Linked DNA regions of Caenorhabditis elegans. The protein of the gene in region 2 purifies or fractionates together with the protein of the main gene of each other region. This does not show direct contact. Each region holds a gene or a part of one and is shown on either strand. Other genes may lie near its edges.

Region 1 (6,557 bases), on a different chromosome or scaffold from region 2:
TTTTGCCAATTTTGGTCGTCCGTTGTTTCTCGCAAAACGGCTTTTCCTCCGGCTTTCTTCTGTTTCTTCCACCAAATTGGACCTCTTTTCTCTTTTCGTCCCTGCGTTTCGTTTCCCGTTACTTTTTTCCCAAACCAGCCACGTCGTCGTTGCGCCCCAAGTCCTCCCAAAAAAGCGGTGCGATGACAACGTGTGTGCTCGGCGAGCCCAAAGGCGATTTTTGATTTTTTTTTAATTTTCAGTCGGCTTACCCAATGTCTACTTTGTCTTATTCTAACACAGTCCACGATGGTAGTAAGCTAACGAAGAAAAAGAAGAAGACAAATGGAAATTTTGATCCACGGAACAAACGGGAAGAAGTGAGTATTTTGGCACACAAAAAAAGCGACGGGGCCTAGAAAAATCGGAAACTCGGCCAGCTATTGATATTCCGCAAGAGTGCACAAATTTGTTTAATTTCTAAAGTTTTCCGGAGCAAACCAAAAAAATTAGAAAATTAAATATTTTTTGTTTCCGTTTGCACGGATTTCTGGCTTCCTTCATAAAAATGGAAGAGTTTGCCGAACTAGGCCATTTTGGCTCGGTCATATCTGGGGTAGATTTACGGCGCGTTGCGTGTCGCGTCGCGGCTCGATTTTAGTTGTAAGACTAAATATATTTGTCCGTGTGGAGTACACGACTTTCCCACGCGTTGTCCGTCTGGCGATTTTCAATGGAGCGCAAAAAATTCAATGAGGAAGACCAGAACCCCGGGATTAGCCTGGAAAATGTTCTCCTCGAGGAGTACACGAGCTGCGTAAATCGACACATATATCTATAGATGCGTTTTTTTTTGATTTTTGACTCAAAAAGGTAAAAACCGAAAATTTAGAAAGAAGTGTGCGCCTTTAAAAAGTACAGTAGTCTCGAAATCTTGCACTTTTCCTATTTTCAGATGTTTTTTGTATTACTTGAATACAATTTTTTCTGAAAATGTGTATTTCGCAACATATTTGACGCGCAAAATATCTCATAGCGAAAATTACAGTAATTCTTTAAATGGATACTGTAGCGCAGGTGTCGATTCACGGGCTCGATTCTATTTTCGTTCATTTTTTCGTATTAATTAAATTTAATTTAAAAAAAAAAAAAAAACGAGCCCGTAAATCGACACCAGCGCTACAGTATCCATTTAAAGAATTACTGTAGTTTTCGCCACGAGATATTTTGAGCTTTAAATATGTTACGCAATACGCAGACTTCTCAAAATTTTGTGTTCCCATAGTATATGACTTTATAATTTTATCAATTTTCACAAAAAAAACTTTAAATTTTTAAAAGAAACAAGAAAAAATTAAAGAAGCCGAAGCTGATTGCGAAATAGCTATACTTTTTAAAGGCGCATGCATCGTTTCATAAAATATAATTTTTTTAAATCGTGTCGAGACCGGTTACCGTACTTTTGCGTCGAAAATTACAACATTTCGCTATTGGATAATAGGACTTGAAAGGCAACCACCTAAAATTTTAGCTAAAATCGGGGGAAAAAAAACGAGATTTTCTGATTTTCCCAGAAAAAATCTCGACTTTAGATCAAAAATATTTTTTTTATTACAAGTTTCAGTTTCAGTCTCCAATGTGGCTCATGGAGGCGTGTGTCAATCCAACAACTGCCGGCTCACGAAAATGGCTAACAGAATTTCTGCCGATGGCTGCTCAGCTTCTTCTCGCCGACCGGCCGGCCTACATAATTGTTCGAAATTCGTGGAATCCCACACCGTTCGACCATTATCCATCGAGACCTGCCACGTCTATTCTGACGACGAGTGCCGGTAACGACAACAGCATCTACGTTTCAACGGATGCAAAGATCTGGACAAGTCAAGAGATCCGAGCCACCGTCGAGGACTGTGACTTTGCATCCGGAAACATGTGGTTCTACATCGGAGCTCCACGAAGTTCCGACGAACTTTTCGAAAATGTAATCGATCCACTGTTGCAGTGGAATCGTGCACCATCTGGCAGTGGTGAACTTATTGGGAGTGCCGAAGACGCGTTGGCACTGCTGCATTGGAATGCTGCAGGAGAAGTCGCCGTGCTTGGAGCTCGAGAGCTGAAGGTATAAAGGATCTTTGACTGCACCACACTTATACATGCTTCATTGCAGAAGTTGGCTAGCCGTCTCGGGATTGTTATCGAGAATGAAGACGCGATGGTTATCGACTGTCTCGAGGAGGACTTCTCTTCCAATGCCGCCACCGCCACATCCTCGGACGAACCAGAGGTGCCACGTAGAATTCCGATATTCGATATGTTCTGGGTCGGCATCGCGTTAATTATCCTCCAATTGTTGTACTTGTTATCGAAATTCGACTTTTTCCGGGAATGGTTCGCCTAAAGATAATTGATAAATAAAAACTAAAACAGAAGCACAATAAAATTCACATTTAAGTTTATGGATAGGGCTTAGACAAAAAAAAGAGGGAAGCAAATATATAAAACTCTTTTTGAAGGGGGTGATTTGGGTGGTGGATAGGGGGAAAGGATATTTTTTCACAACACAAATTATCTATTTTCGCGGAGAAAAAGCGTAAAATCGTGGGGATGTACATTCACACAGACACACACATTCAAAAAAGAAAATAATTTAGGTTACGACGTGAATTTGGGGGTGGGTGAAGGAATTTTTTATAAGGGGAGAGAAAAGACAGCAGAAGAAAAAGAAGTGAAAATCAAAAAAAAATTACATTAGATAAAATTTAGAGTGATAGGAAGAGGGGTTGCATTAGAAAATTTTCAGTGGAAAGAAACAAAAAAATACGACTAAGAGCTTGATGGTGAAAGAGTGCCGAAGAGGGGGGTATCACAGAGATTATCGTTTCGATTAACAACATCCACCGCTCTTCTTGTCTTGAACCGGTTGACTTCCCGTGATACGCACACCTGGAGCACCTCCGGCTCCTTGAACTGGTCCCATACGTGATTTGATTTCCGAAGCCATGGTAAGGAAGGCCTGAAATGTGATTTTATTTTTTTAAAAATCATTTTTAGCCCAACAAACCTGTTCAACATTCGTCGATGACTTGGCGGATGTCTCGAGGAACGGGATTCCGAGTTGTCCAGCATAATCCTGGGCAGCTTGAGTCTCCACAGCTCTCTTCGCTGTCAAATCGCATTTGTTTCCGACCAACAGCTTGTTGACGTTCTCACATGCGTACCTATCGATTTCCTGAAGCCACTGCTTCACGTTGTTGAATGTCTCCTGAAAAATGCTCATAATATTTATTGTTATAAGCTTTTTAGGAAAATAAACTAACTTGGTCAGTGATATCGTAGACAACGATAATTCCGTGAGCTCCGCGGTAGTAGCTCGATGTAATTGTGCGGAAACGTTCCTGACCAGCAGTGTCCCACTGAAAAATAACTGTTTTAAAACGAATTCGCCATTTTATTTGGTTAAACTCACGATTTGAAGCTTGATAGTTTTGCCGTCGAGCTCAATAGTACGGATTTTCTGAAAATTACAAAATCATAATAAATAATTTCGACGGAAATACTGAAAACTTACAAAGTCAACTCCGATAGTGGAGATGTATGATTCAGTGTATGTGTCATCGGCGAAACGCAGCAACAGGCACGATTTTCCGACGCCAGAATCTCCGATGAGGAGGAGTTTGAAGAGGTAGTCGCTGAAATTGGGAAAAAAATTGTTAGAAACCGAATATTCTTCTGCCGCAAACTCACTATTCAGGGTTCATTGCTGCCATCTCCTTTTTGTCGATCTGATAAATTGGAACCCCCTGAAAAATTATAAATTGCGAATTGAATAAAGCATGAGGAATCGATGCGAGAATGAGGAAAATGAGTGTCAAAAAGGATTGCGAAAGTAAAGATGAGAACGGTGACAAATCATATGACAAATCGGTCAGCAACAGGAGACAACGTGTATAATTTATTGATCGCGGTGCGGTTTGTAAACAAAAGAGAAAGCAACGAGAGAAAACCGGTTTTATCCAGACGAACAGTGCAAGAAAACCTGACTCTTTTATCAGTAAAAGAATTTTTCCTGAAAGGAAAAATTCTAAAATTCCACCGGATCAGTTTACAGACTCCAAAGCTAGAAAATATTTCGCAAGACTTTTTTATCGATAAAAATTACTTTTTCGGCATAATTTCGACTCTGATCACGCCAATAGGCAGATATTAACATCAGAAACACAATAAAGAACGTCTGGAAGCTTTTAAAAAGTCGAAAAATGGATAAAATTAGCCAGGAAAAGCTGTGGAATCGGGAGAAATGACGTGGCGAGGCAGAGAGATGAATACCCCGTGACTGCGGAGCGGCTGCGGCGCAACGCGTGCGATGGGGCGCACATGCATTATTGAAATAAAAACATGTTTTTATTGAATTTATTTGATCGAAAATACATACCTATAAATATATAAATAATATATAATATAAATATATAAATAATACGAATTTTATCTAATTTTCTGAATATCTGAAAGCATAAAAAGAACTTCACTATTTGAAGATCCTTTCCAATCTAGGAAATAATCAGATTAATCTATTGATTTTGCAGATTTTTTCCACAGAAGCTACATATGGGAGTGAATTCTTCACAAGTTGCACAAGATAGATTAAGGTGCGTAGTAAAAAATAAAAATAATTTATGGAAATTTTAAACTTTTAGTCTCACTTCTACCAGTCAAAACTCCCCGAGAAACGGTTTGCGGAGCGCTCGAAATGTGTTGAGAGCAACTTCGCGACTCAAGTTTTCGTTCAAAGTAAGTTTTAAGCACTCTGAAAATATCAAAAACGGATTTTAAAATCCGAAAATACGATATCCGGTCTCGACACGACAAACTTTTGTTAAATGCAAATTAAGTGTGTGCGTGCGCCTTTAAATCCAACTGTAAAAACTTCAAACTTTCGTTTTTTTCCATCAATTATATATTACGGGAACACAAAATTATGAGAATGCGTATTGTGCAACATATTTGACGCGCAAAATATCTCGCAGCGAAAACTACAGTAATTCTTTAAATGGATTGTGTAGCGCTGGTGTCGATTTACAGAAATCATTAATTAATCGATAAAATATTAAAAAAAAACACAAAAATGACAAAAAAAAATCATTGAAGTTGAAAAAAAATCGTTTTTAATTTTTAAAACTGTAGTTTTCGCTACGAGATATTTTGCGCGTCAAATATATATTGTGTAATGCGCATTTTTAGAATTTCGTGGTCTCGTAGCGAAAATTACAGTAATGACTTGTGTCGATTTACGGGAGCGATGTTTGAAATTAATTTCTTCTAGTGACAGCGAAATTATTTTCCAATTTTTTGCTTAATTTCGAAATTCATTTCAAAAATCGAGATCCCGTAAATCGACACAAGCGCTAGAGTAGTCATTTAAAGGATTACTGTAGTTTTCGCTACGAGATATTTTGCGCGTCAAATATGTTGTTTCGTTCCCATAATGTATAGTTTGAAGTTACAGTACTAGTTAAAGGCGCACACATTATCGCATTTGGCAAAATATTTGTCGTGTCGAGACCGTCCAACTTCCGCGTCACCAGGAGTACTGGCTTTCCTCATTTAATTTTTTGCGCTCCATTGACAATCGTCCGCCGGACAACGCGTGGAAAAGTGTTGTGTACTCCACACAACGAAAATCGAGCCGCGACGCGACACGCAACGCGCCGTAAATCTACCCAAGATATGGACGAGCCAAAATGGCCTAGTTCGGCGCAAACTCTTCCATTTCAATTTTTAAGTTAAGCCAGAACCGCGTGGCGTCGGGATAAATAAATTAAATAATAAACGACAAATCTTTTGCAGAGAAAATCTTCCACTCGAGACCAAATCCGACCGTTCGAGGAACTCATCAAAAGTTGGCCAGTTCAAGATCTCAACCTTCTTCTAGCAGAATTTGAAGCCGATTCGAAGCTACTCGAGTTTCAGCGACTATGTGATAATTCAAGAAAACCGACAAATTCTTTCCTCAGAGACTTCGAGAGCGGGAGAACCGTGTCAGGAAATCTGAATATCTTATTCAAATTCACCTCAATTCGCGCTAACCGCGCATTCGTTTCTCAAAGATGTACAAATCTCAAAATCTCGGCAAACTACGATGAGAACCCGGAAAACTTTGATTTGTGCGAGCAAAAATTTTTGAAATTCGAACAAGACGCGGTCGAGATATTCTTGAAATCGTACATTTATAACGAACAATGGCCGGAAAACTTGGGAAGTGAGATGCTCGAACAACTGTGCACAGATTTTGGATGTTTTAAGAAACTTGAAGAAGATGTGAAGCATATGTACAAGCAGGATCTGAAGCATGGCGACTTGATAATTGAAGTTGTCGACGGAAGTGAGTAGAATAGTTTTTTAGTTTCTTAGCCTTGGGCTTAGGCTTAGGCTTATCAATAGGCTTAAGCACGGGACTATGTTTAGGTTTAGGCTTAGGCTTAGGATTAGGCCCAGGCTCAGGCTTAGGCTTAGGTATAGGCTTAGGCTTAAACTTAGGCGTATGCTTATGCTAAGGAGAAGGCTCAGAACTCAAAGACTTA
Region 2 (6,728 bases):
TGCTGGAGCTGGAGTTGGAGCTTTTTGAATAACCATTTGAGAATCGTTCGGAACGTGACTAGGATGAGGGCTTGCCTGAATTCAAATATAGGAACTTCATTTGATACTACAGTGACCCACCTGTTTCAAGTTAATCGGAGTCGATGGCGTTGTCGTCGAGAGTTGACTATGTGAAGACATTGAAGTCAAAGACATTGTACCTTCCAATACTGATATACTTGATGTAGTTCTTCTGGTTCTGACCAAGAATTCATCAGATCTTTTATTTGATACCTCTTTCTTTGTCTTCTTTGATTTTTCAATAACACACGAGAAACGTTGTTTCGGGGGAAATGGATTGTGGTAGAGAATGTGCTGGAAATTAGAATTTAGAGATACGTGCATGAATTGGAAGCTAATCTGTAGACTATTATTCATTCTCAATATTATTTTTTACAAAAGATATTCACATCAAAGTAGCACGTTGCTTAAGTATTCAGAAGAATTGACTTCCAGGAGGCACGGGTATTTTATTTTAGAAAGGAGCGACTTTATTATGAGCCACCAATAGAAAAGCATGGCACATCTTTAAGATATAAAGTTCTCGCAATTTCTGGTCTATCAGCTGGGGAACTATATGAGTATGTACACATGTAAGATATCTCGCACCGAACCTATTTACTGTACTCACATAAAATTCCAAACTGACTACACCGTGCAGGTATAATCTAGATGACCTTTTTTGCCAATTTTAATTATTAGACATACGATAATTATTACAAAATTGTTTTCTTTGATCTTTGTTCTTTGAATCTTGAAAAGATCGAAGTACCTCCATATAAAATCGTTTTGCTTTTTCACAAGCATTACGAAGCGATTTCCGATTATCAGCCGAATTGAACGCAGCTTCAAAATATTTTGAATCGACTAATTCTGTAGCAGTTCGACGAGAAACTTCACTGATTGCAAATGAAACAAAATTCCTTCCATTTTCCGATTGGCAACATGTTACAGTCATTCTTTGAGGATCACAAGATGCATCAGCAAGATAATTGTTCACACAATTATACGACATCTGAACAAGAATCCATTTGATTTTTGAATTTTCAGTTTGCAAAATAAACGTTTCAAAATCCGTCTAACTCACAGTGAAAGAAGTAGGATCTTCAATTTTTCGAGTTGCCACAGCTCCATTTTTTGTAAAAATCACTTTTTGTGAATTAGTCTTCATACAAGTTGGCATTTTTAGAAATCGTAAGTACAGAAATAAATTTTTAAAAAACGAACCAGAAGCGGTTGAGCAAAACGTGAAAATTTAAATAGGATAATTTAATATTTTTCAAATTTTTGGTAAATTGCCAAATTTTCCAAAAAAAAAAACGCAATTGAAGTATAAAGCTCGTAGAAAATATGTTTTTGTCAATTTCCTAAAATATGTCCTAAAATATCCTAAAACTAAATAAATCTAAATTTTTCAGCAGCTTCAGTAGAGACTGCAACATCTAATGAGATCTTCGTTGGTGACTACAATGCTCATAATCAGTTCAATCCAAGTTTTTTTAAAACTTAAGCAGGAGCTGAGGCAACAAAAACAGTTGTGTAAAAGTCATGAATATTTAGGTTGTCGGGGGGTTCAATCCATAACTAACTTACCATGTTTTGATATACTTCCTTTCCCCTCAAACTACACGAATGTATTTTATGATAGTTTTTGTAGTGTAATAACTTCTAATAACTTGTCTAATAACTTGTATCTTACTTGTTTCTGCTTTTATTATTAATACATTATAATAAATTCAAAAACAAATTTGTTCAACTTTTAAGTAGGGAAAAATTGAATAATTACCAAATTGAATAGACACACTAGTTGTCAATAGATTAGTAGGTCTGGAACAAATTGGTAAACTGTACATATAGTAAACCATATATAATAAATATATTTACTAACCAGCTCATGAATGTAATTTTAATTCAATGTTTAAAATTAATAAAACTTATCTAAATTGTTTTCATGCCCGTTTTTTAGTATACTCACTTACTACAACTCTTATCTTATCTACTACAATAACCTACAACTTAACTCTTATTTGTCTCCATTTTCCCGCTCCTCTGTCTCGATATGTTCCGTTTTCTCCAAAACTGCAAAATTGTATGTTTGTCAGTGTCTCCACCATTACACCACCGTCTCAACCCTGCAAGACCGGTGCATACACGCTCCGTCGACGGCCACGCGGTTGGTTATTGCCTGCGTAGCGACCCACACACAGTGATGGGATACCGAGTTCAACCGTATTTACGTAAGACCTTCGCAACTGTTTAGGCAACTTTTGAAAGTCTTTTTTTGAAAAGTTTCAGACTGTTTTCTTGTGATTTTCAAGACAAAACTGTGTAAGTATTAGGGAATGCTTGGTTTTTGTCTTAGATATAGTATCTACCTACAATATGCTAAGTTGATATGATAAATTATTGATTGATGATGTTTTTTCTATTTGTCATCATTTTTAGGTTATTATGGTTTAAATCAATTTAGATACATTCAATTTGCTGACTTTTTTGAAATGGCTGTAAAAACTAGTAGATTTATCAAATTGGATCTAGGTCCCCATTTCTTAAGGACTATGTATTTGACGCTTTACTATATTTTTTCTGGTTTTTATTTATTCTTAAATATTGTTATCATTTAAAAAATTAACTTGTGCGTTGTAGGGTACCAATATGTCTGACGATCATCACGACGACGAGCACTTCCACACCGGAGACTCTGGAGCTGCTGCCACATTCCCAAAGCAGTGCTCTGCTCTCCGTAAGAACGAGCATGTCATGATCAAGGGACGCCCATGCAAGGTTCGCTTTGTTTTAAAATGTTGAAAAATTAAATAAACTTAGAAGATGTTTTGTGAAAAAGTGCGATGAATGACTTGGATAAGTTTCGGCTGAAACTTGGTGATGCCAACTTTTTAAAACTGCTGAGCACTTTTTCTCAAACAAAAACCCAATAAATATGAAAGAACTATATATATAGTTATATAAACTATTCACTCATAGTTTTTTACAAAAACTGAAAGCTTACCAAATTGATAATTAATTCCAAAACAAAAAACTCCTGAAATTATTTAGCTCACAAAATACCCAGATAAGATGATATGATTTAATCCTAAAAACTGTTAGTCTAAACATTAGATAGGCCAGATATTTATATTCTCAGAGGCGAGTGAAGAGGCGGATCAGAGACACCCCGCCATGCTTTTACCGGAAGGAAATTCTAAGACAGTTAATTTGAATTTTAGTTCTAATTTAAATATTAACATTTTAAAATTGCAAAAAATATTTGAGGAATAAAAAAAAAGTATACATACAATCGTAGCACCATGCTTCTAGAATGTGGACAAATCAACTTTGCGTAACCATAAAAGTTATCTGAAAGTTGTAGATCGTCGAAATGTCGACCTCCAAGACCGGAAAGCACGGTCACGCTAAGGTCCACATGGTCGCCATCGACATCTTCACCAGCAAGAAGCTTGAAGATATCTGTCCATCCACCCACAACATGGATGTTCCAGTCGTCAAGCGTCGTGAGTACTTGGTAGGTTTTCCAAAATTTCATATTGCTAAACTATCACTAAATTTTTATTCAATTTTCAATATGCTTGTTCTTTCAGTTGATGGCCATCGATGACGGATATTGCTCCCTCATGGACCCAGAGTCCTGCGAGCAAAAGGATGACCTCAAGCTTCCCGATACTGAGCTCGGACAACAGATCCGTGATGCTTATGAGAAGGACGAGGGATCCGTTTTGGTCCAAGTTGTCTCTGCTATCGGAGAAGAGGCTATCCTCGGATGGAAGGTCAGCACCAAGGAATAAATCGTCAAAGGAACCCCCTGCCAACTGCTCATGAATCCTGATTCCCCCGTTCCACCCCGCAAAACTTTCACTGTATGAATGGTGCTGCTTGACATTCCATTCCAGAATTCAAGTATAACCCATCATCAAGTGCTCGTGTTATTTTTCTTGTTTTCATTAACTTTTTTTTTTGCTTTTTTTCAAAACATAACTGAGAATTTAATTTCAAATAAATTATCAGAAAATTTTGGTTTCCATTTTATTTAAAAACTATCAATCCACCTCCATGAATTCACTCGTTTTTTCTTTTGCCTTCTTGTTCCATCATCATCCGTAGGTAATTTGTTTCTGTTCCATCATCTCACACACTCTCTCTTATACACGCACAACAATTGACTAAATTTGATTTATAAATGAAGTTGCACGGAGAGTTGCTTTTCGATTCACTTTCATTTGATTCTGAATCTAGGAATAGTTGAAGAGAAAAGAAGCGATTTCATTTCCGGTACTGGGAGATATCTGACCAGAATCTTAGTCAGATGCTTCTTTTGTTTTTCGATTGACTAGGAAATATGTTACTAAAGAATAATTCCTAGAGTTTTTAAGTTTTTCAGTTCTAAACGCTTTCCTATAAACGCAATCCTGGAAATGTTTAATGACTCGTAAAGCAACCGTTTTTGACAAGAGACACCTGTGATTTATACGTTTTTCAAGCTTCATCAAAATAGTGCCTAGAATTTCCATTCGTTCTTTCAACTTTCAGTCTGAAAAGAAACATATCGATGTATCTTGTTAGGTTATTTTGGCTCACTTTTATAAAAATATCTTCACTTACTGGAACGGTCATATTGTTTTTTTGCGTACTTATACCTTTCTCTGCTTGACTTCAAAACTTAATTTTAACAAAAACAAGAGGCGTGGAAAACTTTAAAAGCTTCTTGGTAACAACTCGACCTTTCTAATGGGATTTTAAAGTCTAGACACGTGTTTACCAATTATCAGCATACTTGTTGTATTGTCTATTTTAGTTTATAAATTAGTTCAAGAATAAGGTTCAATGTTTTTGAAATTGACGCTGTTTTCATTTTTGATTTGACAGCTTTCAAGGGCACGTTACCAGCTTTTCCAAACCGAGCTGTAGAAATCTGCCAATGGTGCACTAAAAAACTTTCTACAAGTATCGTGCTGAATTTCTTAACTTCTGTAACTGAAACCTCGTTTGTATGAACAAAAACTTAGTTAAGACCGTGTAATAGTTCAAATTGAGTTTGCATTGTTGATTCGCATCAGAAATTTAAAACAAGCATATCAGGCATTGAATATAATTTGCAAATTTCAGAATCGCCGCTCAAAATATCTGAAAAAAGAATATGACGGATCAAAGAATAAATAAAGAGAAAATGGGCGTGGCTGAGCCGTCTCATATTCACTCATTTCCCGACGGACCGCCCGTTCCTTTTTCTCTTCAACAAAATTGTCCTCGTTCGTTTCGTCTTCCACCCGTCAAAAATAGAATAACAACCACTATCGCCGTGTCGTCACTTTTCAATTTTTTAGTCGTTAGTAGTTTTAAAAAATGACATGTAAAAGCTTTCTTTGACATGGTTTTAGATATATGTTTCTCTTTTTATGTTTTCAATTTTGAATTTTCGCTTGAATGATTTTCTTCTTTTTGTTTCAAATTGAACACGAATCTGCTTTTTTTGAGGTGGACACCAGACGCGAGAAATCGAATACTACTTGAAAAAATATAAATTTCTTTTGGTTTCTTATTCATCACCTAGTTTTTAAATGAGTTGTTTTTTTGTATTTGAAAACAATAACACATAAATTATTAGCTTTGTTAAAGAAACGTTCAATCCGGTTAATTTTCCCGTGTTTTCTAGAGATTTAGATTTTTGCATACATATGATAAATTCACAATATTTGTTCAATCGAAAATGTCTTAAACCAAATATTGTTTAAAAAATTCAAATTAATTTGGTACTTGAGAAAGCTAATAAATTAAATAAGTGTAGGCTTAAAACATACCTGTTAAAAGTAGGTAAAGATTCTTTGACCTGTAAACCGGATGTTTTATAAAAGTTGAAGAGTTCAACACGTGTATCATTTCCTGTATTCATCCATTTCACTTCCGGTCTAACGGAACTTGCCGAAAATTTGCAAAAATTTAGTTTCTCCGCATGACAGATTTTTTAATGTTCACATCATATTAATTTTGTTATTCTCTATTATTTTGAATTAATTCATGTTTTCTTCTAATTGTAATTCACATAGCTTATTAGTATCTTGATGTTTTTGCCAATAGTTTGACTATACACATTTCCATAGAGCTTTTCTTGTACAGACCATGTTTTTTGTTTTCCAGTATGCTCGATGTTAGTTTCCAAATTCGTAATGCTCGACACATCTGACAATGTAATTTTACGCAAGTAATTTTTGTTAGCGATCAAAGACCGGTCAAGAAAACGATCACTTCAGACAGTTTGCCATACGTGTTGTGCGTTTTGTGTCATAAAAACAAGCAACGGAATAAAAATAGATTAAGTCCAAGAAAGTACAATGCAATGTGTAAAAAAGATTCGACAATGTGGGTGATATTTTTCTTAGAATTTGCGTCCGCGGAGGATTAACGTTCCCCGCCGATTCATTTTCTGGAATATATACATACATAGATATCAAGAACACTTTTCTTCCCGTAGATACAATTTCCAGGAAAGGTCTCGTTAAAATGTTGGGTTTACCGATAATTTGCATCGAATTCATTGCATCGACCATCATTAAAAATTTCAAGAACCGTCTTGCATGTATGATTTGATATACCTGATGTAACCTGTTCTAAACATATTCCTTGACGTATAGTATCAGTAGTATAAAGTCTAGACTAATCTCTATGGAGTCCTTCAT
Region 3 (6,165 bases), on a different chromosome or scaffold from region 2:
TTTAGTAATTATTAACTTCGAGCTTACTAGAAATTTGACCCATTGTTTAGATTCAGATGAGTCAGTTTTACAGATTTGTAATTTGATAATGTTATTACTATAGCCATTTAGCATCTTGCACTTTTAATTAAATATCAATCTAAGGTATCAATCTTGAGCCTTGATCATTATCACCATTATCAAATTGAACCGTTTTAGCTTGCCGCCAACTGCCATTCTCAATGAAGTCCTTTTGAAAGTCAACAAACTCAGAGTCTTGCTCTCTTTGCTTTCTCACTATTTCTTTTGATTGGGCTCTTTTCTCTTGACCTCGAGTTTACTCAGTAACTTTGTGGTTGGCATGGATGGAATAAAAGAAAAACATACAATCGTGGAGTTTTTTCGCAGTTTTTTTCGGAATGCAACTGATGATGACAGTATTGGGTTAGACACACCCATTGAAATAAGGTATAAAAATGATCAAACGAAAAATCTTCACCATTTCTGCTCACTTCAATCGAACGAAATGAACACGTAAGTTTTCTAGCAAACGATTTATGTTATCATTAGGTAGGATGTGCATCATTCATTCGTAAATTTTCAGCCTCCTTGCTCTTTGCTCACTTCTTGCTGTGGCTTCTGCCCAATACTTGTATTATCCAACAAGTTATTACACACCATACTATTACTATTATCCAACCGCTGCAGTTGCTGGTACCACTGGAGTTGCTCAGCAAACTCAGGCTGGTGGAGCTTCCCAACAAGCTTATGCTCAACAGCAACCACAACAAAACCAACAGTATGCTCAAGGAACCCAACAACAACAACAACAGTATTATCCACAACAAACGCAACAGGGTCAGCAACAACAAACTCTTCAATACCAACAAGGAGTTCAACAGCAACCAGTACAGTATGATCAATCAGGAAATACCCAACAGGTTCAATATGATCAATCATCCCAAATGCAGCAACAACCACAACAACAACAGCAATACACGCCTCAATATGATCAATCTGGAAATACTCAAAATCATCAGCAAGGAACTCAACAGACTGGAGCTGTGGCTGCTCAGCCACCTTACTACTATTATACATCTCCATACTATTATTATGCTTATGGAAGAAAATAGAAGAGTATTACGGAACTTGCCCAGCCCATCGTTGTTTCATATTATGATTTCATTCCTCACACTGCCTTTATGCGAACGAAAATAATTGAAAAAAAAAACAATAAATGATTCGAAATTTATGCGAAATGTTGTGTAAGAAAATATTTTTGAAAAAGCAGATTAATACCTGAAAATATTTCCAATTAAAGCAGTGGAATTGTCTTCGTGCCTACCTCGTGCCTGCCTACATCTCAACTGCTGGCTTATTTGTTTACCACATGCCAGACCAATCAGTTTGCACGAAATATTATTTTTGAACTATTAATAAGATACATTTGTTATATCTGTACAGCCTGACACTTTTTTAGAGCGATTATTTGGAGAGTATTCAACACCATCATATTTTGATACCTGAGTTTCAGCCAGCTTAACAGTTTTTTCATTAAAACCGAACACAAATTCAACGGCCCACTAGTTACTCATAACCTAAACATTGGCAGGTGTTCTCTTACATAATCTGTTATAAACAAATGGATCGTCTCAATTTCCAATCAGGTATCAATGACATAAACAAATTATTCACCCTCCACCGTGCAACTCCATTAATTTCATTTCATTTTCGCAACAAATGATACCTAACTTACAGTTATTTCTTTCATTAATACTATTCGGCTTATTAAATCATGTATCTTCAATTGACTATGAAGAAATACACATCGAAGATTCATATGAAACAAGGTAACGAATCCTTTAATTTTTTTTCAAAATTACGTCCGAAAACATTTCAGATCACGTATTCTAATGGTTGATGGAAATGTGTGGTTGCATGCCGGAAAGGATAAAAATATAACGTTCAAAACGACTGGAAATGGAAGAATATATGTGGACGAAACAGATGTTTCCAAACTTCCAGATATTGTAGGTAGACTGCTGAAATTATCCAAAAAAAAAATGAACGAGCTTCTACAAAACATTTATTTTTGATACGTTGCTTTGCTTAACACACAGATTTCTTATTTAGTAGAGGCTTATGCCGATGGTTTCTTGGCAGCTTCCACTTCAATAAATTTGATGAGATCAGCTCGTTCGTCAGCTTTCTTCAAACCAGCGAAGACCATCTGAAAATTTCTTATTAATACTCCATCGCACTTCCTAGAAAATCCTACCTTAGTTCCGGGGATGTACTTTTTCGGATCAGCCAAATAGTCGAAAAGTGTTTGTCTGTCCCATACAACTCCTTTATTCTTGTTGGCAGCCGAGTAGTCAAATCCAGCAACTTGTCCGGATTGTCTTCCAATCACTCCGTTCAATGTTGGTCCAGTCTTTGTTTGCAATGAGTTGACAACGTGACATTGCTCGCAACGTTGTTTGAAGATCTGAAAATCAATAGGTTTTCTGGGAACACTATAATGAAAAATTTAACTAACCTTCTTTCCTTTCTCATTGTCTCCTTCTGGAATAGCTCCACCGGATGCCGTATCAGACTTCTTCTTGCCCATGTTTCAAGAACTGATTAAAACATAGACGGTCAGATTAGAAAAAGGAACGAAACGTGGATTACGAGTAAGAGTTGGAATTAGATAGTCGGAGATCACGCAAAAATTTACTTTTTGACAACTATTTAAAAAGAATCACTTTCCTGAGAAACGGTCACGTAAATTTTGATAATTAAGTTCTATTATTTTTATAAAACTTTTCAAAATGAATAATTGTTTGAAAATGTTTGAACTATGGAAGTTTTTGAAAATTAACTCGAATTACAATTTTCAATATTCAAAATAATTTTCAGGCATCTTTCAAGCAACTTGTTGGACGTATTGAGAACACTTCTCAAATGTTCACCACTTTGAAAAGTCGCCAGGACACGCAGACTTCTGCAATGAGAGTGGTTTTAAATTCTGCAAAACATTATCTAGTAGCGGTAATTCCATACATTTTTTTCTCTTTTTGAAATCAATTTTTAGCTTCGAAATATGACACTCGAAGTGAATATCTTGAAGAAGTGGAAAACTGATAAAATGGCCAGAGACATGAGGAGACGGGGATTATTGGTGAAAATGACACGTCAAATCATGTAAGACACAACAAGTTAGGTTTGACTATTTTTTATAAATTGTTAACTTTCAAGAGGAATCAACAAATTGATAGCAATAAACGCGTGCGATCCGAACAAATGTAGTAATGGAGGCACATGTATCCCATCTTTTGGCGCCAAATTCACTTGTCTTTGTCCTCCACATTTCACCGGTACAACTTGTGAAGCTGACATCGATGAATGCTCAGTATACAATGGTACAACTGCTGGATGTCAGAACAATGGAACATGTATCAATAACCGTGGCGGATTTGAATGTCAGTGCCAATCCGGATATCATGGATCTCTTTGTCAGTATCATATGTCCGCTTGCTCGAAAACTTTTGAATTGTGTGGTCCACATGGGCATTGTATTGAGAGTATTGTGGATCCAACTGGTCAGTCATCTTCCGATACAACTACGTACAAGTGTATTTGTGATTGGGGTTTCAAGGTTTCAAGTGATAAGAACAATCCAACGTGTGTTGATGTCAATGAATGCGAATCAAATCCATGTCATCCAGGAGTTGATTGTATTAATTTGCCTGGATCGTTTGTGTGTTCCGGATGTCCAAAAGGATATAAAAGTAAGTTAGAATTATATATGTTCAATCAAATCAAAAATAAAATAATTTTTTTGGTTTAATTCTTGTCTAGAAAATATATACTCGTATCCAAAACGTTTTCATAAAATAGGTAAGTAGGCATTTAAATAGGTCAATAGGTGTGTGGTAGGCATGAGGTAGACACGTACGCCTGAACAAGTGCCTACCCTGTATAACACTTACAAATTTCAAGCTTTTTTTGTGAAAATACTTGTTTGGATTTCTCAGTTCCGAGAATGAGGAGAGAAAGTCTTATAAACTTCGGCTTAACAATGTGAAAAATCAGAATTTGTTAGTTTGAAGGTGTCGAAAAATGTACTGAATATCTGTCATTGAAATCCAAAAAGTAAAATAAATTCAGCCGATGGAAATGTTTGTATTGATGTCAACGAATGTGAAGGTGAAATTCGTGTATGCTCTCCGCTTTCAAAATGTCATAACACTCTTGGCAGTTATTATTGTGATTCGTGTCCGACTGGATACTCCGGCGATGGAGGAAATTGTGTGAAAGATGATAGTTGTGTCAAAAACAAATGCCATAAATTAGCAACATGCAAGGTAACTGACGACGGATACAGTGCTGTTGGAGACTACACTTGCTACTGTCCAGATGGATATGTTGGTGACGGAATTGGAGAGGAAGGATGTGTTAAGTCAGCAAGTAACGTTTGCCAGAACCACAATTGTGTTAATGCTGGGAAATGCAAGGTAACACAAATGAAGACAAGTAAGCACTGTTACTCAAAAAATAGTTTTCAGCCAACAAGCGACACCGAATATAAATGTGAATGTGAAGCTGGTTTTCTTGGAAAGTTCTGTGAGAAAACATCACCGTGCCAAACGAATCCTTGCAAAAATGGAGGAACTTGTATTGCCGTTGAAAATTCTGCTTATTGCGACTGTCCAGAGCACTTCTTTGGTAGGGCATGCGAAGAAGAGGAAGAACGTAAGAAAATTCATTAATAAAATTTTTATTGCTTGTTTTCTGTACAAGGAGCGGCCCAGCTTTAGCCTTGGGCAAACTTAGTATAGACTTTTGAACATATTTTGGATCTAACTGCTGGTAGGTTTCACAGGCAGAGTTGTTAAAAAAGTGGACTCACCATGCCACGCTCTTCAGTCAAGATTCTACAGTATCAGAAGTTAGATCCAAAGCCTGTACCAAAGTCTTACCGATACCGCCACTGCCTGCTCAAAACTTGACTGGTTTCTCTGCTCCTTACAAATAAGAGTAACAGTTAGCCACCGAAGGTTGTTCTGGGACTGCGCAGTCACTGTCAAGTAGACATCAGCAGAGACTGAAACCTCAAAAACAAAACTCATTTTGTAGACTGTGGCTCTCACTTCACTCATTCGAGCGGAAATTATACATTCGACCTACAACGATCGAATAAAACGGAACTGTCCATATGTGATTTCGTCTTCAATATTCCTGCTGCAAACTCTGCAGTTGTAATGACTTTCACAGAATTTGATAAATTTACGCAAGAAGGATCAGGACCTACAGATTGTGCCAAAACTGATGCGAATTTGACATTATACGATGGACCAGAAGACAGTTCTTCTGAGTTTGCAACATTCTGTGGAGATTCACACAGTGTTCACGCACCGCTGAGTGACACTCCAATCACAATGACTTCAACAGGAGCAATGCTGAGATTTAGAGGAACCCAAGGTTCTTTTACTATCAAATGGGAAACCGTTGAAAGAAGTTAGTGGAATTTTTATATAATTCAATTGGAAGTATATTATTTGCAGAATGCGGGTACCGTAGCTCAAAACCAGAAGGAATAATCTCCGTCCCACAAAACCACCAAGACATTGTCTGTGAATGGTTTATTTCGGCTCCCGGTGGGAAAATAATCGAAGTCACTATTCCTCCAGTTTCAATGCATTCAAAAGACATTGAAAAATGCGATCAAAACTCTTTGGAAATATACGATGGTTATGCTACATATGATAAACATCGTATTCTTGAAACATGTTCATCTACTCTTGAATCCCAAGTCGTTAGAACTACTGGACCATTCCTCACAGTTGCATTCATCAGTAATATGCTACAAAGTGATGCGGGTCTTGAAACGATCCGTGGATTTGTTTTAAAATACAAATTCACCACACCAGATAGGGAATGTGGAGCAGAAATCGATAACGATTCAAATGATTTCTCATTTTCTGGTGTCATTGAATCACCCAACTACGGTAGTTTGTATCCGCCAAACATGGATTGCACATGGAAAATTAATGGAACACTTAGCAATGGATCATATAGTGGAGATATGGTATTGAAACTGACGTTTGATGAATATGATGTCAAGTCTGGATTTAGTGCCAATGGGCCGGGAATGCATTGTGAGTTTATTTATATATTATTTCCTGAAAAGTCGCTCAGTTT

Evidence for each region.
Region 1: the proteins of iff-2 (region 2) and rab-1 fractionate together in Caenorhabditis elegans (co-fractionation; one large-scale study listed by BioGRID). This does not show direct contact.
Region 3: the proteins of iff-2 (region 2) and cyc-2.2 fractionate together in Caenorhabditis elegans (co-fractionation; one large-scale study listed by BioGRID). This does not show direct contact.

What each region holds. Positions count from the first base shown.
Region 1 is NC_003283.11:1,260,211-1,266,767, forward strand, and holds rab-1 (RAB family), read right to left. Parts: upstream 3,780-6,557; 5' UTR 3,747-3,779; coding exon 3,724-3,746; intron 3,669-3,723; coding exon 3,548-3,668; intron 3,494-3,547; coding exon 3,446-3,493; intron 3,393-3,445; coding exon 3,297-3,392; intron 3,242-3,296; coding exon 3,041-3,241; intron 2,993-3,040; coding exon 2,864-2,992; 3' UTR 2,407-2,863; downstream 1-2,406. Other genes in the region: C39F7.1 (uncharacterized protein), read left to right, coding at 255-359, 1,604-2,098, 2,147-2,377; C39F7.5 (BACK domain-containing protein), read left to right, coding at 4,585-4,625, 4,674-4,767, 5,824-6,358.
Region 2 is NC_003280.10:8,556,922-8,563,649, reverse strand, and holds iff-2 (Eukaryotic translation initiation factor 5A-2), read left to right. Parts: upstream 1-2,685; 5' UTR 2,686-2,694; coding exon 2,695-2,823; intron 2,824-2,877; exon of another isoform or gene 2,878-2,959; intron 2,960-3,409; coding exon 3,410-3,562; intron 3,563-3,638; coding exon 3,639-3,842; 3' UTR 3,843-4,069; downstream 4,070-6,728. Other genes in the region: F54C9.14 (PID domain-containing protein), read right to left, coding at 1-75, 121-354, 812-1,054, 1,127-1,222. UniProt on the Caenorhabditis elegans protein: Translation factor that promotes translation elongation and termination, particularly upon ribosome stalling at specific amino acid sequence contexts.
Region 3 is NC_003283.11:12,609,628-12,615,792, forward strand, and holds cyc-2.2 (putative cytochrome c 2.2), read right to left. Parts: upstream 2,592-6,165; 5' UTR 2,591-2,591; coding exon 2,519-2,590; intron 2,468-2,518; coding exon 2,258-2,467; intron 2,210-2,257; coding exon 2,120-2,209; 3' UTR 2,055-2,119; downstream 1-2,054. Other genes in the region: ZC116.1 (Prion-like-(Q/N-rich)-domain-bearing protein), read left to right, coding at 341-513, 584-1,112; cubn-1 (Cubilin homolog), read left to right, coding at 1,720-1,829, 1,880-2,009, 2,881-3,012, 3,056-3,165, 3,220-3,752, 4,132-4,478, 4,530-4,716, 5,101-5,481 and 1 more. UniProt on the Caenorhabditis elegans protein: Electron carrier protein. The oxidized form of the cytochrome c heme group can accept an electron from the heme group of the cytochrome c1 subunit of cytochrome reductase.